Linked DNA regions of Elephas maximus indicus. The protein of the gene in region 2 interacts with the protein of the main gene of each other region in a pairwise test. Links are inferred from orthologs where the notes say so. Each region holds a gene or a part of one and is shown on either strand. Other genes may lie near its edges.

The links.
Region 1: the proteins of NIF3L1 (region 2) and DMC1 interact in binary tests that used the Homo sapiens proteins (3 or more experiments, as listed by UniProt). The two-hybrid records come from large-scale screens. The link is inferred for Elephas maximus indicus from reciprocal best matches to the Homo sapiens genes NIF3L1 and DMC1.

Annotation. Positions count from the first base shown.
Region 1 is NC_064822.1:182,465,665-182,473,069, forward strand, and holds the start of DMC1 (meiotic recombination protein DMC1/LIM15 homolog), read right to left. Parts: upstream 3,095-7,405; 5' UTR 3,053-3,094; intron 1,222-3,052; 5' UTR 1,196-1,221; coding exon 1,145-1,195; intron 318-1,144; coding exon 273-317; intron 1-272. UniProt on the Homo sapiens protein: Participates in meiotic recombination, specifically in homologous strand assimilation, which is required for the resolution of meiotic double-strand breaks.
Region 2 is NC_064824.1:99,577,153-99,584,726, forward strand, and holds the start of NIF3L1 (NIF3-like protein 1), read left to right. Parts: upstream 1-4,555; 5' UTR 4,556-4,729; coding exon 4,730-4,758; intron 4,759-6,453; exon of another isoform or gene 6,454-7,206; intron 7,207-7,574. Other genes in the region: PPIL3 (peptidyl-prolyl cis-trans isomerase-like 3), read right to left, coding at 588-662, 4,113-4,154. UniProt on the Homo sapiens protein: May function as a transcriptional corepressor through its interaction with COPS2, negatively regulating the expression of genes involved in neuronal differentiation.

The sequences.
Region 1 (7,405 bases), on a different chromosome or scaffold from region 2:
CCCCTCTAGTTGGCCAGTGGTTCTCAGCTGGCGACATTTTGCCCCCTGGGGATACTTGACAATGTCTGGAGACATTTTTGGTTTTCATAACTGGAGGGCACTACTCACTACTAGCACATAGTGAGTGGGTAGAGGCCAGGAATGCTGCTAAACACCATACAATGCACAGGCCAGCCCCCTACAACAGAGAATTATCCAGCCCAAAATGTCAATAGGCCTGTGCTGCGAAACCCTGAGTTGAACAACTAAACACAAAATCAAAAAATACTTACAATTCCATGTTTTTGTAACAGGTCAATATCTTGAAACAAAGATTCCTAAAGGTGATAAAACAAAAAAATGAGTTTTGATTTTTCATATCCAATTGTTTCATGTCTTTTAAAGAGTTAATTCAATAAAATAAGTCACTCCAAAATGCCTCAAATTTCACTTCTCTAGATGGTTTGAAGTAGGATCAATAATGTTTTTTCTCACACATTGTTACATACTTAGAAGAACTTCCAACGTTGAAAGGGCTGGGAAACTTATACCTTTGTCATGGTCTTTACCAAATTTTTAAGGCCTTTATCCAATGCTGTTCCACTGCTTTTTTTTATCCAAAGCAGTGGAACAGCATTTAACCTATTTTAAACATGTTTTTTCAACTTTCTTCCCCACCAGACCCTGAACTCCTTCTAAGACCAGGCTGCTATTTGGTACCAATCCCTGGGTGGCACAGTTAAGTACTCGACTATCAGGCAGATGGTTGGTGGTTCAAACCCACCCAGAGGTGCCTTGGAAGACAGGCCTGGTGATCTGCTTCTGAAAGGTCACGGCCTTGAAAACCCCATGAAACAGCTCTACTCTGCACACATGAGGTCATCATGAGTCGGAATAGACATGACGATAACTAATAACGACAATGCATAGGTACTAGTATAGCCATACCAGTTGTTCAGTTATTAAAATAACCTTCATGCCAGTTGCTAAACAGCTAATCTTAGCACCCCTCGACATAGTACTGTTATGTATCTATAATGCAACCTCTTTCTAGAGCTATGTTTTATTTTTACTTTTAGTTTCTAAAAATAGTAGCTAAAAGAGACAGAACTTAATTTTTGTGGAATGCTTAAATGTCTACTTATCGTCCAGCATCCTAACATACTTCATCATCTTGGAATCCTGGTTCTTCCGTCACAACCTGATCCTCCTTCATATTGAAAGCCGAGCAGCAGAACAATTCTAGGAAAATAAGAAATTATTTCAGAGGTGGTATAGTAAAACATCTTTTGCCCAGAGGCCTCCTTGATTTCATTTCAAAGTCACTAGAAGCAAAAGAAGAGAAACATTTAGTTTGGAATGAATGGGCAGGGCCATCTTCTCTCTGTTGGGCAAGTGGCATTACTTTTGTGTATGTCTGTGGCGGGGGGGGCGGTGGGCTGGTCTTATTTTGTTTCTTCTCTCCATTAACACTGCTCACTTTTTGTCATCTTTTTCATTTCTCATAGCACAGTTAATCGGACTGTCTGATATCTTTATTGTTGTCTTAGAATGATATTTAAAATTGCATATTGCTATTTAACCTTTCATGTTTATGTTTAACAACACTGTAATAACCTTGACCTTATGCCATTTTTCCTTGTATGCTCCCTGGCACCTAGAACATGGCCTACCCTGAATGAACAGATTTTATTTTTCTCATATTTTTTTTTTATGATGAATGCATTCCTGTTTGCTGATTATGAATTCGTTCTTCTCTTGTAACATGTATCTTTTTGTTTCATACGACACTAGATATATGTTGTTTTATAATTTACCAGTTTCGTGATTTTTTTGAGATTAAAAATAAGGTGGATACCTGTAGTATTATAACATTAGGGCCAATAAGTTGTTAAAGAGTCTTTGATTTAACACTGTAGCAGTTGTTTTAACTGTCTGGAATCTACATGACTAGGTTCCTCACAATAAAATGTGGGCTTAATAATCAAGTTTTCTTGGTTTATTCCATCTCCTCACTTAATACCAAAGTCAGGGGTTGGAACTCAGCAGAAGGGAAATAAACTATTGTAGAGGTATGGTCCTACCACCCAGTACTTTTAAACAGAAAGGTATAAGAGGCAAATGTGGTATAGTTTACACGGAATCTTCTAGAATACTGTCCCTCAGATAAAGCCGTAAAAAAACCCAAACTTGTTGCCCTGGAGTGGATTCCAACTCCTAGCGACCCTATAGGGCAGAGGAGAACTGCCCCATTGGGTTTCCAAGTAGAAGCTGGTGGATTCCAACTGCTGGCTTTAGGTTAGCAGCTGAAATCTTAACCACAGTGTCACCAGATAGCTACATATATATATAAAAAAAATGGTTACCCAAAATTCCACATTGACTATCCTCATTGAATCGAAGGGAGAAAAAAATATATATATATAATATATATCCATTTCTTCTTGATAAAACGAAAACATTGTTCACTATCTCTTTCAAGTAGCAACTGACAGACTGAACAGTTCCCTCTACTGGGCTCCCAGACATCTTGGTTTCTACGGTTTTACGCGTGACCTGCCACCTCGGTTTAAGGGAGACAGGGCTGCGTATCTTGGGGGAGCATGGTCCATGTCATCTTTGATGTCACCAGGTGACAGGCGACCTGGGACCTGGCAGCCAGAGCCCCCCTGTGGACATTTTCTTGACATCCGACTCCCTCATACGAGGGAAGGGCCGAGGAGGCTTCTTTAAGACTTCGGTCCAGTTTTATAAGGCTGTCGGAGATCCTCTAAGACCACCGAGATTCCTCCCCGGGGCTGGTGGCGGAGCGCACAAAGTCACAAGCCCAGGCCCCAGCCACGACCCCAGGAAAGGGGCGAAAAAGCGGACTGTATTTTCTTAAAGCCTCGAGTTTCCCCTCAGTTTCTTCACTCGGTTTCCCGTTTGCCACACACCTCCCTCGTACCAACGCTCTCCCCGAGGTTTTCAAGGTGATTTCCCTTCGCCCCCACCCTGGGTTTCCGGTTCTCAGCTCTTGAGATTTGGGATCCGACCCAGAACGCAGAGAAGGGCGACCCCGCGCGTCGCTGACCTGAGAGTTTGGCGCCGAAAGACAAAGGCCCCGGGCGCGCGCTCAACGTGGGCGGGGCGAGGGCTGAGGGGCGGGAGCGGGCGGGACACGGTGGGCGGGTCGGAGGGCGAGGGGCGGGGCTTGACCCAGGGGGCGGGGCTGGGAGTTGCTGCCAGAGGAGCCTCCTGAGGGGAGACTCCCTGCAGTGGGGGAGGCTCGCTGGGATGGGGCAGGGGCGATGAGGTGGAGGAAATGTACTGAGGAGGGGGCCCTTGGTGGGAGGAGAGGCTGGGGCGCTCCTTGAGCTGAGGGAGATGCTGAAGTAAGGGCGCGCACTCTGAGGTGGAGGCACTGAGGAGACGTGCCGAGATTAGGGGGTGCTGAGGTGGGCGCGCTGGGGTGAGGGCAGGCTGCTGTGAGCAAGAACGTCCTGAAGTGGGGGTTGGTCTGAGCTGAAGAGAGGCCGCTGGGAAGCGGCTGATTTGGGGAAGGGCATCACTGAGGTGGAAGACCTTGAGGTGAGGGAAGGGTGTTGAGTAGAAGAGAGGGCGGGGATATACCCAATGCCTGTCTTAATCAGAACCTTCGAGTTAGGAAGTGGAATGGTGAGGGGTCTCTTTTCCCCTGCCCAAGGCTTTTCTTTTCATTCCAAGTGTTTCAGACCGGCTTCACAGTCTGTCCCTCAAACCTCAGTGTTCCTAAGCTCATTTCATTCTCTTTGACTCTGTTACCATTTACCACTCTCTTGTCTGTGATTGAGACACCAAGGGCCCATTCAGGATGGAGAGTAATTTTTCTTCATCTTAACTTGCAGTTTAAATAGACAACAGATGCCAAACATATCTTGGTCCAGCTTTTAAATAGAAATTGTAAGCCTGCCTTCATGCCAGCAGAGCCATCTCTGGCAGCATTGTCCTCCTATCCTTAAATGGAGACTGACTGTTGTTGAAGAGAATTATGAAACATTTGAAAGAGCATCTGTTGAGGTGGAGGCTGTGATGGATCTTGGATGACTATCTATGCAAACAGTTCTTTGGGTTCAAGACCTAGTACAGGGCAACCCTTTTTCTTCATTGTCTGAAACATTTTGCTGGAATAAATAGCAAAAAAAAAAAAAAATATCCCACAATAGCAGTTGGCATTTTGTCGGACACTTTTCCCCAGGTGGATTGTTTAAAGAGCCAATAAATAACTGCCATAGCTCTTCGAAATCTGTTGTTTTCCAGAAACATAGGCTGTCCATTGTTAATGGAAATTAATGGCCATTTTGGGGATGAACTAGGTAGTGATGATAGGCTTTCTCTCTGAGGCCTCATTAAAATAACTAAGGTAACTTCTGAGCAGTTTGTTAGATGAAGACATCAACAGTGTACAGAAGAGCTGCAAAGAGCACAGCAAGATGATTTAGGGAAATATAACATATGTAGTTTGGTGTAGTGACAGCTGGGAGAGAGAAATGTTCATAATATTTGAAGGTTGTGTGCAGTACACTTAAAGAAAGAAGCTGAAATGAGCTTGGTAATGACAAATTCATAAAGTGAGGATAAAAATTTTGTTTGGATATCATAGTTGATTACATACAACTTTAAAAATATTAAAAAAAAATCTGAAGTAGTTAAAAATTATACATGAAGACCTTTCCACTCAACGGAACAACAACAAAAAAGATGAGTCTTTCAAATCATAGAAAATTCTGAATATGATGAAGGTGGCATTTTGAATGAGTGGGGAAGTGATGAATTCAGTGAATGGTGTTGGAACAACTAGGTAGCCATCTGGAAGAAAAATAAAATTGGAATCATACTTCACACCTTACACCAAAATAAACTGCAGATAAATTAAATCTGAACAATAAAATAATAAAAGTACTAGAAGAAAATGTGGTAGAATTTTTTTTTAATTATCTTTGAATAGGAAAAGCCTCTTTGAGTATGACATAAAACTCAGAAGCCGTGAAAAACTAGTAAGTACCTTAAAAAAAAAATTCTGCAAGACAAAATGCCACTTTCCTAAATACAGAGCATGGCAAGCCAGAGCTTTTGTGTCAATTTATAACTGGATAAGATAGTTCGTCCAGTTTTTCAAATTCTTCAGGGAGTCCACAAGTTCCCTACAAAATTTAAAATTTTTATGCCATATTATGATATTCTAAAATATAAAAATAACAAAAATAGGCAGTGGGGTTACAGTCAGGATCTGAATTTTTAACCACTGCGCTTTACTGCCCCTCTGTGGACAACCACCTTATAACAAATAGAAGCAAATGATTTCAGTGACTAACAGATTTCTCATACTGATGCCTGCAGATATATATTCTCGGAGGCTCAACAGCTCAAATTTGAAAATGGCTTTAGTAGAAAACTAAAGAATGCAGGGTCATCACATAAAGAATTCCAGTGGGTACATCTTCCCTTAAACATATAAAATTCCTTAAAAAAAAACCACCTACTATGCTAGGTGTTGGGTGCTAGGGATTCAACAACAAGCAAGATACAAACCCTGTGAGGACTACAGATAAGTATATAGGCAATTATAGCCACTGCTACTGTAATAGTATAACCCTAAATTCTGCTTCTCCCCTGTTGACAATCCCCATGAATATTTTCATTTTTCTGCGTGAATCCCTGGTGGTACAGTGGTTAAGAGTTATGGCTGCTTAAAAAGGTTGGCAGTTCGGATCTACCAGCTGCTCCTTGGCAGCCCTATTGGGGCAGTCCTACTCTGTCCTATAGGGTTGCTATGAGTTATAATCAACTCAGTGGCAAAGGGTTTGGTTTTTTGGTTTATGGTCTTTACGACTAAATGGCAAACATGCCTTGGAAATTAGAGATGTGAATTTCTCGGAGCCATTTGCTCACATCCTAAAGGTAATAAAACTTAGAGATGCCTTTCCCCTCTTCCCTGGAGTCATTTGCTTATATTCTAGGGTTGTAAAAACCTAGGAACTTTTTGCTCCACTCCCTAGATGGGATTTGCTTACACTAGATAGTAAAGGTCTCTGTGTTTCTCTCTCTCTTTCTCCAGGGTGAGAAGGGGCAGATATACCAGCCGTTCTATATAAACTCCAAGTCTCATCAAAATTTTGGGGTTTCTGCCCTGTGGTCAAACTCTGCTGTATACACAGGTGAATATTTGGCCCTCATTCATCACCCTCTGCAGAACTGGGACATGGGGAACTGGTGCTAAGATGCTCTGTGAGTAACAGCAGTCTGTTTTCTGATTCAGTTATATATACAAATGGTATGTGTATACTACATATATATATATATATAGCCCCCTCATCAAAAACTAACTTCTACCATGGTTTTAGAAAAGTGGAAAATTTATGTCTTTCCTGAGATGCCCACTGGGAAGTAGCTTCTTACCACTGGGTGCCCCACTCCACAGTGCCTCTTCACATTCGCTGCCACCTGGCATCCTACACATAGTCCCCTCCATAGGATATGCAGCCCCTTTTCCACAGACATCAGTGGAGAGACTGATGTGAGTCTCACCCATGGTCCTCTTCTTTGCCCTATCCCTTCATTCTCTGTAGTATCACTCGAAGCAGAAAGGCACATCAGATTTTACTGAAACATTGTGGTAAATAATGGAAAATATGTGTGTATGCTAGAAAGCTTTTTAAAATTAATGTTCAATTAATTTAAGTAATAACACGTTTTAAAATTTAGTTTTCCTTAAGCCTTCGATAATATTTTCTAGTGTTGAAAAGCAAAGATGTCACTGTGAAGATTAAGGTGGGCCTGACTCAAGCCATGGTGTTTTCAATCGTCTCATATCCATGTGAAAGCTGGGTGATAAATAAGGAAGACCAAAGAACTGACACCTTTAAATTGTGGTGTTGGAGAAGAATATTGACTATATTATGAACTGCCTAAAAGAACGAACAAATCTTCTTGGAAGAAGTACAACCAGAATGCTTCTTAGGAGCAAGGATGATGAGACTTTGTCTCATATACTTTGGACATGTTATCAGGAGGGATCAGTCCCTAGAGAAGGACATCATGCTTAGTAAAGTAGAGGGTCAGTGGAAAAAAGGAAGACCCTCAACAAGCTGGAGTGACACAGTGGCTGCAACAATGGGCCCGAGCATAACAACAATTGTGAGGAGGGCCCAGGACCAGGCAGTGTGTCATTTTGCTGTACACAGGGTCACTATGAGTCAGAACCAACTCGATGGCACCTAACAAAAACAATAACAGCAACACATAATGAAACCCCAATAAAAACTCTGGACACCGAGCTTGTTTGGTTGGGAATACTCTGCATATTGTCACACATCTATGTGCCAGGAGGTAATGAGTCCTGATTCCATGGGGAGAAGACCACAGAAAGTTCACATTTGGGACCCTCCCAGACCTTGCTCTATGCCTC
Region 2 (7,574 bases):
CACTGTATCACCAGACCCTGGCAAGACAGCCTTACATAAGTAACTACTGGATGAATGAGTACATACCAGTGACTCTTCTTCCTTCCACCTTTGTCATTTAAACAGGTGAAACAATGAACAGTTCTCTTATCTGATATCCTAACAATTCTCTACCTTTCCTGAGGAAAATGAGTCAAAAAAAAAGATATCAACCACTCTACAGTTTCCATACTGAGTCGATTCCATAGGGTTTTCAAGGCTGTGACCTTTCGGAAGCGGATCGCTAGGCCTTGTCTTCCGATGCATCTCTGAGGTGGGTTCCAACCACCAATCTTTTGGCTAGTAGTCAAGCGCTTAACTACTTGCATTACACAGGGACTCCTACTCTATGCTTAGAGGAAAACTATCTACCATTTCTTTGATCTACCTTTGATATGGTAAAAGGTAAGGAAATTAGGCCAGAAATTATAATGGCTGGTTCTTCCTGACCACAGTTTCACAAAAAAGTTTTTTTCTATTGTTACTGTCTTAGGGTTAGGTGATTCAATTTCAAAATGGCTATCCTGGTACATTAAACTAATTTTTCATATACAAATAATGGTACTCACCTCACAGGTTTTGGGTGTCCTCTCACAAAAAACTTCTATTTTAATATCACCTACATCTGTATGCAATGTCACAGACTAAAAGGGAGAGAGAATTTGAGAACAAGTAAGATTTCTTCACGTGACTTTATGCACTGTATTGTTTCCCTTACTGGACATCCAGTATGACAGTCTGAGTAAAAGGAGACGGAAAGAAATACTGCATCAGAGATGACGTTCACATAACAGCTCTAGAGATGAGTTATACTTCTTCCCTAAAATTTATTCTAACAGCAGGAAAAAATACCATAAGATAGATATAAATGATAAGATAGATGTAAATGTTAAAGTAAAAAGGTATTTATGCTAAAAATTGGAAACAAATATTGAGATAGAAATTAGTTTACATTTGAATTTTTTATCAGTAAAAACAAGTGTTATGTTACTATTATTGATTTAAATGGTAAATCACCAAAACATAGTTTCCACCATATCCCTTATGTAATTTTATCCTGAGAAACAGGGTTAAAAATCAGTTTTTCTTTCTTTTAATTAATTTTTTATTGTGCTTTAAGTCAAAGTTTACAAATCAGGTCTCTCATACAAAAATTTATATACACCTTGCCATACACTCCTAATTGCTCTCCCTCCAATGAGACAGCACAGTTCTTCCCTCCACTCTCTCCTCGTGTCCATTCTGGTAGCTTCTGGCCCCCTCTGCCCTCTCATCTCCCCTCCAGACAGGAGATGCCAACATAGTCTCATGTGTCTATTTGATCCAAAAAGCTCGTTCTTCACCAGTATCATCTTCCATCCCCTATTCCAGTCCAATCCCTGTCTTAAGAGTTGGCTCTGGGAATGGTTCCTGTCCTGGGCCAACAGAAGGTCTGGGGACCATGGCCTCCGGGGTCCCTCCAGTCCCAGGCTGACCATTGAGTCTGGTCTTTTTACAAGAATTTGGGGTCTGCATCCCACTGCTCTCCTGCTCCCTCAGGGTTTCTCTATTGAGTTCCCTGTCAGGGCAGTCACCGGTTGTGGCTGGGCACCATCTAGTTCTTCTGGTCTCAGGCTGATGTAGTCTCTGGTTTATGTGGTCCTTTCTGTTCCTTAGGCTCATAATTACCTTTTGTCTTTGGTGTTCTTCATTCTTCCTTGCTCTAGGTGGGTTGAGACCAACTGATGCCTCCTAGATGGCCGCTTGCCAGCGTTTAAGACCCCAGGCACCACTCTCCAAAGTGGGATGCAGAATGTTTTCTTAATAGGTTTTATTATGCCGATTGACTTAGATGTTCCCTAAAACCACGGTCCTCAAACCCCCGCCCCGGCCACGCCAGCTCTCAAAGAATTCAGTTTATTCAGGAAACGCCTTTGCTTTTGGTTTAGTCCAGTTGTGTTGACCTCTCCTGTATTATGTATTATCTTTTCCTTCACCCATAATAAAACGTATATGTATTTTTTTTTTTTTATTATCTATCAATTTCTTTCTTGACTAAAGAAACAAGTATAAAAAGCATCAAAGAATTATCTTAGGTGAGGGGAAGGACAACACACAATACAAGGGAAGTCAGCACCAGTAGACGAAACCAAAAGCTAAGAAGTTTCCTGAACACAACGAAACACTTCGAGGGACAGAGTAGCAGGGACAGGGGTCTGGGGACCATGGTTTCAGGGGACACCTAGGTCAACTGGCATGACAAAGTTTAGTAAGAAAATGTTCTGCCTCCCACTTTGGTAAGTGGTGTCTTAAAAGCTAGCAAGTGGCCATCTAAGATGCATCAATTGGTCCCAACTCACCTGGAGCAAAGGAGAATGAAGAGCACTAAAGACACAGGAAAATGTTACCCCAAGAGACAAAAGGGTCCATCAATCTGAGACCAGAAGAACTAGATGGTGCCCAGCTACCACCAGTGACCACCCTGAGAGGGAACACAACAAAGAGTCCCTTACAGAGCAGTAGAAAAGTGTGATGCAGAACTCAAATTCTAATAAAAAGACCAGATTTAATGGTCTGAGACTAGAGGAACCCCAGAACACATGGCCCGCAGACTCTCTGTTAACCCAGAACTAAAACCATTGCTGGAGCCAACTCTTCAGACAAAGATTAGATTGGATTACAAAACGTAACACTCATGAAGAGTGTGCTTCCTAGTTCAAGCAGATACACGAGACTAAATGGGCACCTCCTGGCAGGCGGCAGGTTGAGAAGGCATAAGGGGATAGGAGCTGGTTGAATGGACACAGGAAACACAGGGTGGAAAGGGAGAGTGTGCTTTCACATTATAGGAATCGCAACTCATTCCAGAGAGGGGAGAAAACTATTTTGAGGCTTTCTTTTTTCTTCTCCTTACAATAATATCTAGCAGTCAGGAGGTATGGCCAGGTAGAAGGTAGAGGATAGGTGGGGGTGGGGCAGGGCACTATTCTCATTGCTTATCTTCTACTTCAAGTTAGAACCCACTGCCTTCAAGTCCATTCTGTTTAGCAGTGAAGCACTTTGACCACTGTGCTACCAGGGCTTATCATACATGGTTATACTGTTCTGCTCCTCCAACTCCCCCTTTCCATCTCTAATAATCTTTTTTCCATAAAAGGTAAATTCTGTGCATTTTAAGTGAAAACATTAAAGAATTAAAAAATAATTTTGCTGTTTTGTTTTTGTTTGGCATCATTCTACACTGTATGCCTCTACATCCTACTTTTTCTCCAACTTGGTGCTGAAATTTTCATGCAGTTTTATTTCCCTTGACTGGATTTCTAGAACTTACACGCATTCAAAAATATTCTACAAAACTTACCATTCTTCTTAATGGTTTCAGGAAGCACTGTTACTTAATGTATCACAGTGCTTCTGAGAAAGTGAGTCTGTTTGTAAAAAACAAGAGCAAAAAAGAATTGTTTTTTTCCTCTTAATTCACGCTTGCTTATTGTATATTAATAAGAAAAAGCCTCAAAGAGCATTCCCCACGTAATACAAATCTGGTTATAGACGTAGTGAGGAGGTCCTGAATATACTTCCTCTCCCTCACTCTTCTTCCAGAGCCTCCTTGTAAGTCTTCCAACAAGTCAGGCACACTCCCCCTCCTGAGGGTGTCAGCACTGGATGTTCCCTTTCCCTGGATCCCTCACACTTAGACATTAGTACTGCTGATTCCCTCACCGCCAAGTCTGCTCAATGTCAGGTCTCATTGACCTGTAAATCCTATTTAAAATTGTTTTAACCCTCCTACCTGCCCTATTTCCTTTTCCCATCACACTTATCACTAACATACTATACACTTTCCTTATTTAAAGTGTCTCTTTCCAACACCACCTCAACCCCAAATGTTCACTCAGAAGTATCCCAAGAACTAAAACACCCGTTGTCGAATCGATTCCGGCTCACAGTGACCTATAGGACAGAATAGAACTGCCCTGTAAGGTCTACCAAGGAGCGCCTGGTGGATTCGAACTGCCGACCCTTCCGGTTAGCAGCCGAGCTCTTAACCACGGTGCCACCAGGGATCCAAGAACAAGAACTAAGATAGTGTCTATCATATAGTTAGCGCTCACCAAGCACTTGAATAAGCGAATGAAAGGATTAAAACCGTCCATTCTTAATTCGGAGCTCTGGTGGAACTGTGGTTAACAGGTTGCTAAACAAAAGGTCTGCAGTTCGGATCCACCAGCCCCTCCTTGGAAACCCTGTGGGGCAGTTCCAATCTGTCCTATAAGGTCGCTATGAGTCGGAACCGACGCGACGGCAACGGGTTTTTTATACTTCACCATTTCAGTTAAGCAAAGCCGTTGCATAAAACAGAAGATGGAGCCGGTGATGTTCGCACGACTCCGGTCGCCGGAAGTTATAGTTTTTTGGCCACCGGAAGTTGGACGCGGGGCCCCTAACAGAGGACGCTCTTTCTTACAAGTTCCTTCGGTCCTCCGTTCTTACCTGGCTCAAACCAAATCGACTAGAAAAAGGGAACCATGGGACACGCTTGACAGTGAAAGGAAAAAAAAAAAAGAAGCTCTTAATAATTACACTAAAACAAGAAGCGTAACTCGGAGCTATCCTGGGCCACCTGTATAAGTGCCTTGGTCTCAGCTGTAAAACTTGACGGACCACTTCCGTTCAACTCCTGTCCTCGGCCCAGTCTTACAACACGGGGAGCTACTGCGCAGAGCCGGAAATGGCGTTTGAGAGGCATTTCCAGGACGGGTGAGTAATGTACTATCTAGAAACCTGCGTGGATTTTCGATATCTTAGAGGTAGAGCCTAGTTAGGAGTTGATTCCGACTCATAGTGACCCTATAGGACAGAGCGGAGCCGCCCTATACGGTTTCCGAAGCTGTAATCTTTAGGGAGCAGATTGCCTCGTCTTTATCCCGCAGAGCCGCTGGTGGGTTCTAATAGCCCACTTTTCGGTTAGCAGCTGAGCTCAGAACCATTGCGGCCACCGGGGCTCCAAGTTAGGGTAGACTTCGGTTGTTGTTGGAGTGTAGGGAAAGGAGCGGAAGAGGAGGCCTTGCAGAGAACTGGCCTGTCGCAGGGGTGCATGGGACGGGGGTCCTGACTCCTGGGGTTACTGGCTGTGCCACCTGGCGCTCTTCAGTGCCCAGGAAAAGGTGCTGCGGTGGAACTGACATGAAGGGTAGATGAGAACCTAAGAGGGAATAGTTTGCAGGTTGGGAAAAAAAAAAACCTTAATGTTAGTAAACAGTAGCAGTCACAGTGTTTACTCTGGGCCGGTCATTGTTCACGGCACAATACCTTTTGAATTTTCGTGACAATCATATCAGCTGGGCACTATTATTTACATTTCTTTTTTTCAGACGGGAAAACTGTAAAGGTAATTTGCCCGTGGTTGACATCTGTGCCTTTGGGGTTCAGTCTGGCTTCAGAGTCAGTGCTCTTAACCACCATGCTGTGCTGCCTCTCATTGTCGTTAACTGCGGCTTGAAGCCAAGTAGCCTCGCAGTATCCTAATCTATGCAATGGGAATGTTCTACCATGTTTCCACGGTCTCTTTCAAATATAACAGTAAATAACTCAAAATCAGCGTGGTGGCCTACTGGGACTTCACTTTACCTCTTGCTAGACTTAGAAGAATCTAGCGAGTGGATGTGGTAACAGAATCATTAGATCTTCCAAGTCCCCAGGCTCGCGTTGTTTTTCCAGGCCTTGCACATAAGTATCCATATCCTAATGAAATACTTTCTGCTGTAAAAATGTTGGAAAAAAGTTTTTTTCTTGAAATCATTGGGTTCTGAATGTTTCATTACATTTACAATTGGCTGTGCTTTCTTGTTAAGGAGCCCTGGCGGAGCAGTGGTTAAGTGCTTGGCTGCAGCCTAAAGATGGGTGATTCAGACCCACCAGCTGGGTCTGCAAGAGGAAGATGTGGCAGCCTACTTCCCTAAAGATTGTTGTAGTTAGGTGCCATTGAGTCATTCTGGCTCATAGTGACCCTATAGGACAGAGTAGAACTGCCCCATAGGGTTACCTGTAGGGCAGAGTAGACCTGGGTTTCCAAGGAGCAGCTGGTGGATTTGAACTGCCAGCCTTTTAGTTAGCAGCCATAGTAGCAGAGATCTTAACCACTGTACCACCAGGGCGTCTCCCTAGAGATTACAGCCTTGGAAACCTTATGGGGCAGTTCTACCATTTTCCTATAAAGTTGGTATAAGTCAGAATTCACTAGAGGGCAGTGTGTTTTTTAATATCAATCGTGCATACCAGAAGATGTTTTTCTTCCAAAACCAAAAATTTTTATAGATATTAAATTTAAGAACAGAGTTGACAGTGTTATTTTTGTGGTTATTTGGTTAATCATTTACTGATTTTAATTTGTCACCTTTCATATTTTAGAGCCAGCAAATTTTTCCCAGCTCCACAATTTCCTTTTTTAGTCCTCTACCTTTCCTTTTTTTGCCAACCTTTCCAATTTTTGTTGGCTGTAGATGTCTAGAAGGCTTACAGGCTGTGTAGGCAACGTACCTACACCGTTAGCTCTCCCACCTCTTGAGTGTGGCTTTTGTGCTGTAGGTGTTAATGGTTCAGGAGCAGAAGCTCCTGCCTTTTCCTGGCCATGACCCTGCCCATTCAGAAGAGTGACCCACTAATGCATCCCATGATACTGGCTGCTGATAAAGCAATTGATTTTTTAAAAAATATTATTATTATTTTGGTAAAGCACTTTTGCCAGTATGTACCACCCTAACTCCAAATTGGAAACCCTGGTGGCGTAGCAGTTAAGAGTTACAGCTGCTAAACAAAAGGTCGGCAGTTGGAATCCACCAGGCTTTCCTTGGAAATCCTATGGGACAGTTCTCCTCTGCCCTGTAGGGTCACTATGAGTCAGAATCGACTCGATGGCAACTGGTTTGGTTTTGGTTTTGGTTTAACTCCAAATTAAGGAGCCTGGCGGTACAGTAGTTAAGCACGCTTGGCTGCTAACTGAAAGATTTCAGTTCAGACCTACCAGCCGCTATGATGGAGAATGATGTGGCAGTCTACTTCTGTAAAGATTTCAGCTTTGGAAACACTACGGGGCAGTTTTACTTTGTCCTATAGCGTCGCTATGAGTCGGAATTGACTCCATGACAGTAGGTTTGTTTTTTTGGTTTTAACTCCAAATTCTGCAAGGAAGGAGGAGACTGCCATTCTGTGAGTAAACATTAGTGCCTACCTATGCTGGTGATACTGGGATTTAGAAAACATAGTTCTTTAATTTTTTTTTTTTTTTGCTTTCAGTGAAAGTTTACCATTCAGCTTCTCCCACAAAAACTTATACACTCATCGTCATATGATCCTAGTTGCTCTTTCTACAATGTAACAGCACATTCCTTCTCTTGTCCTTGTATTTCCCGTGTCCATTCAACCAGCTCCTGTCCACCTCTGCCTTCTCATCTCACCTCTGGACAGGAGCTGCCCACATGGTCTCATGTGTCTACTTGAGCTAAGAAGCACACTCCTCACCATTATCATTTTATGTCTTACAGTGCAGTCTAATCTTTGTCTGAAGAGTTGGCTTC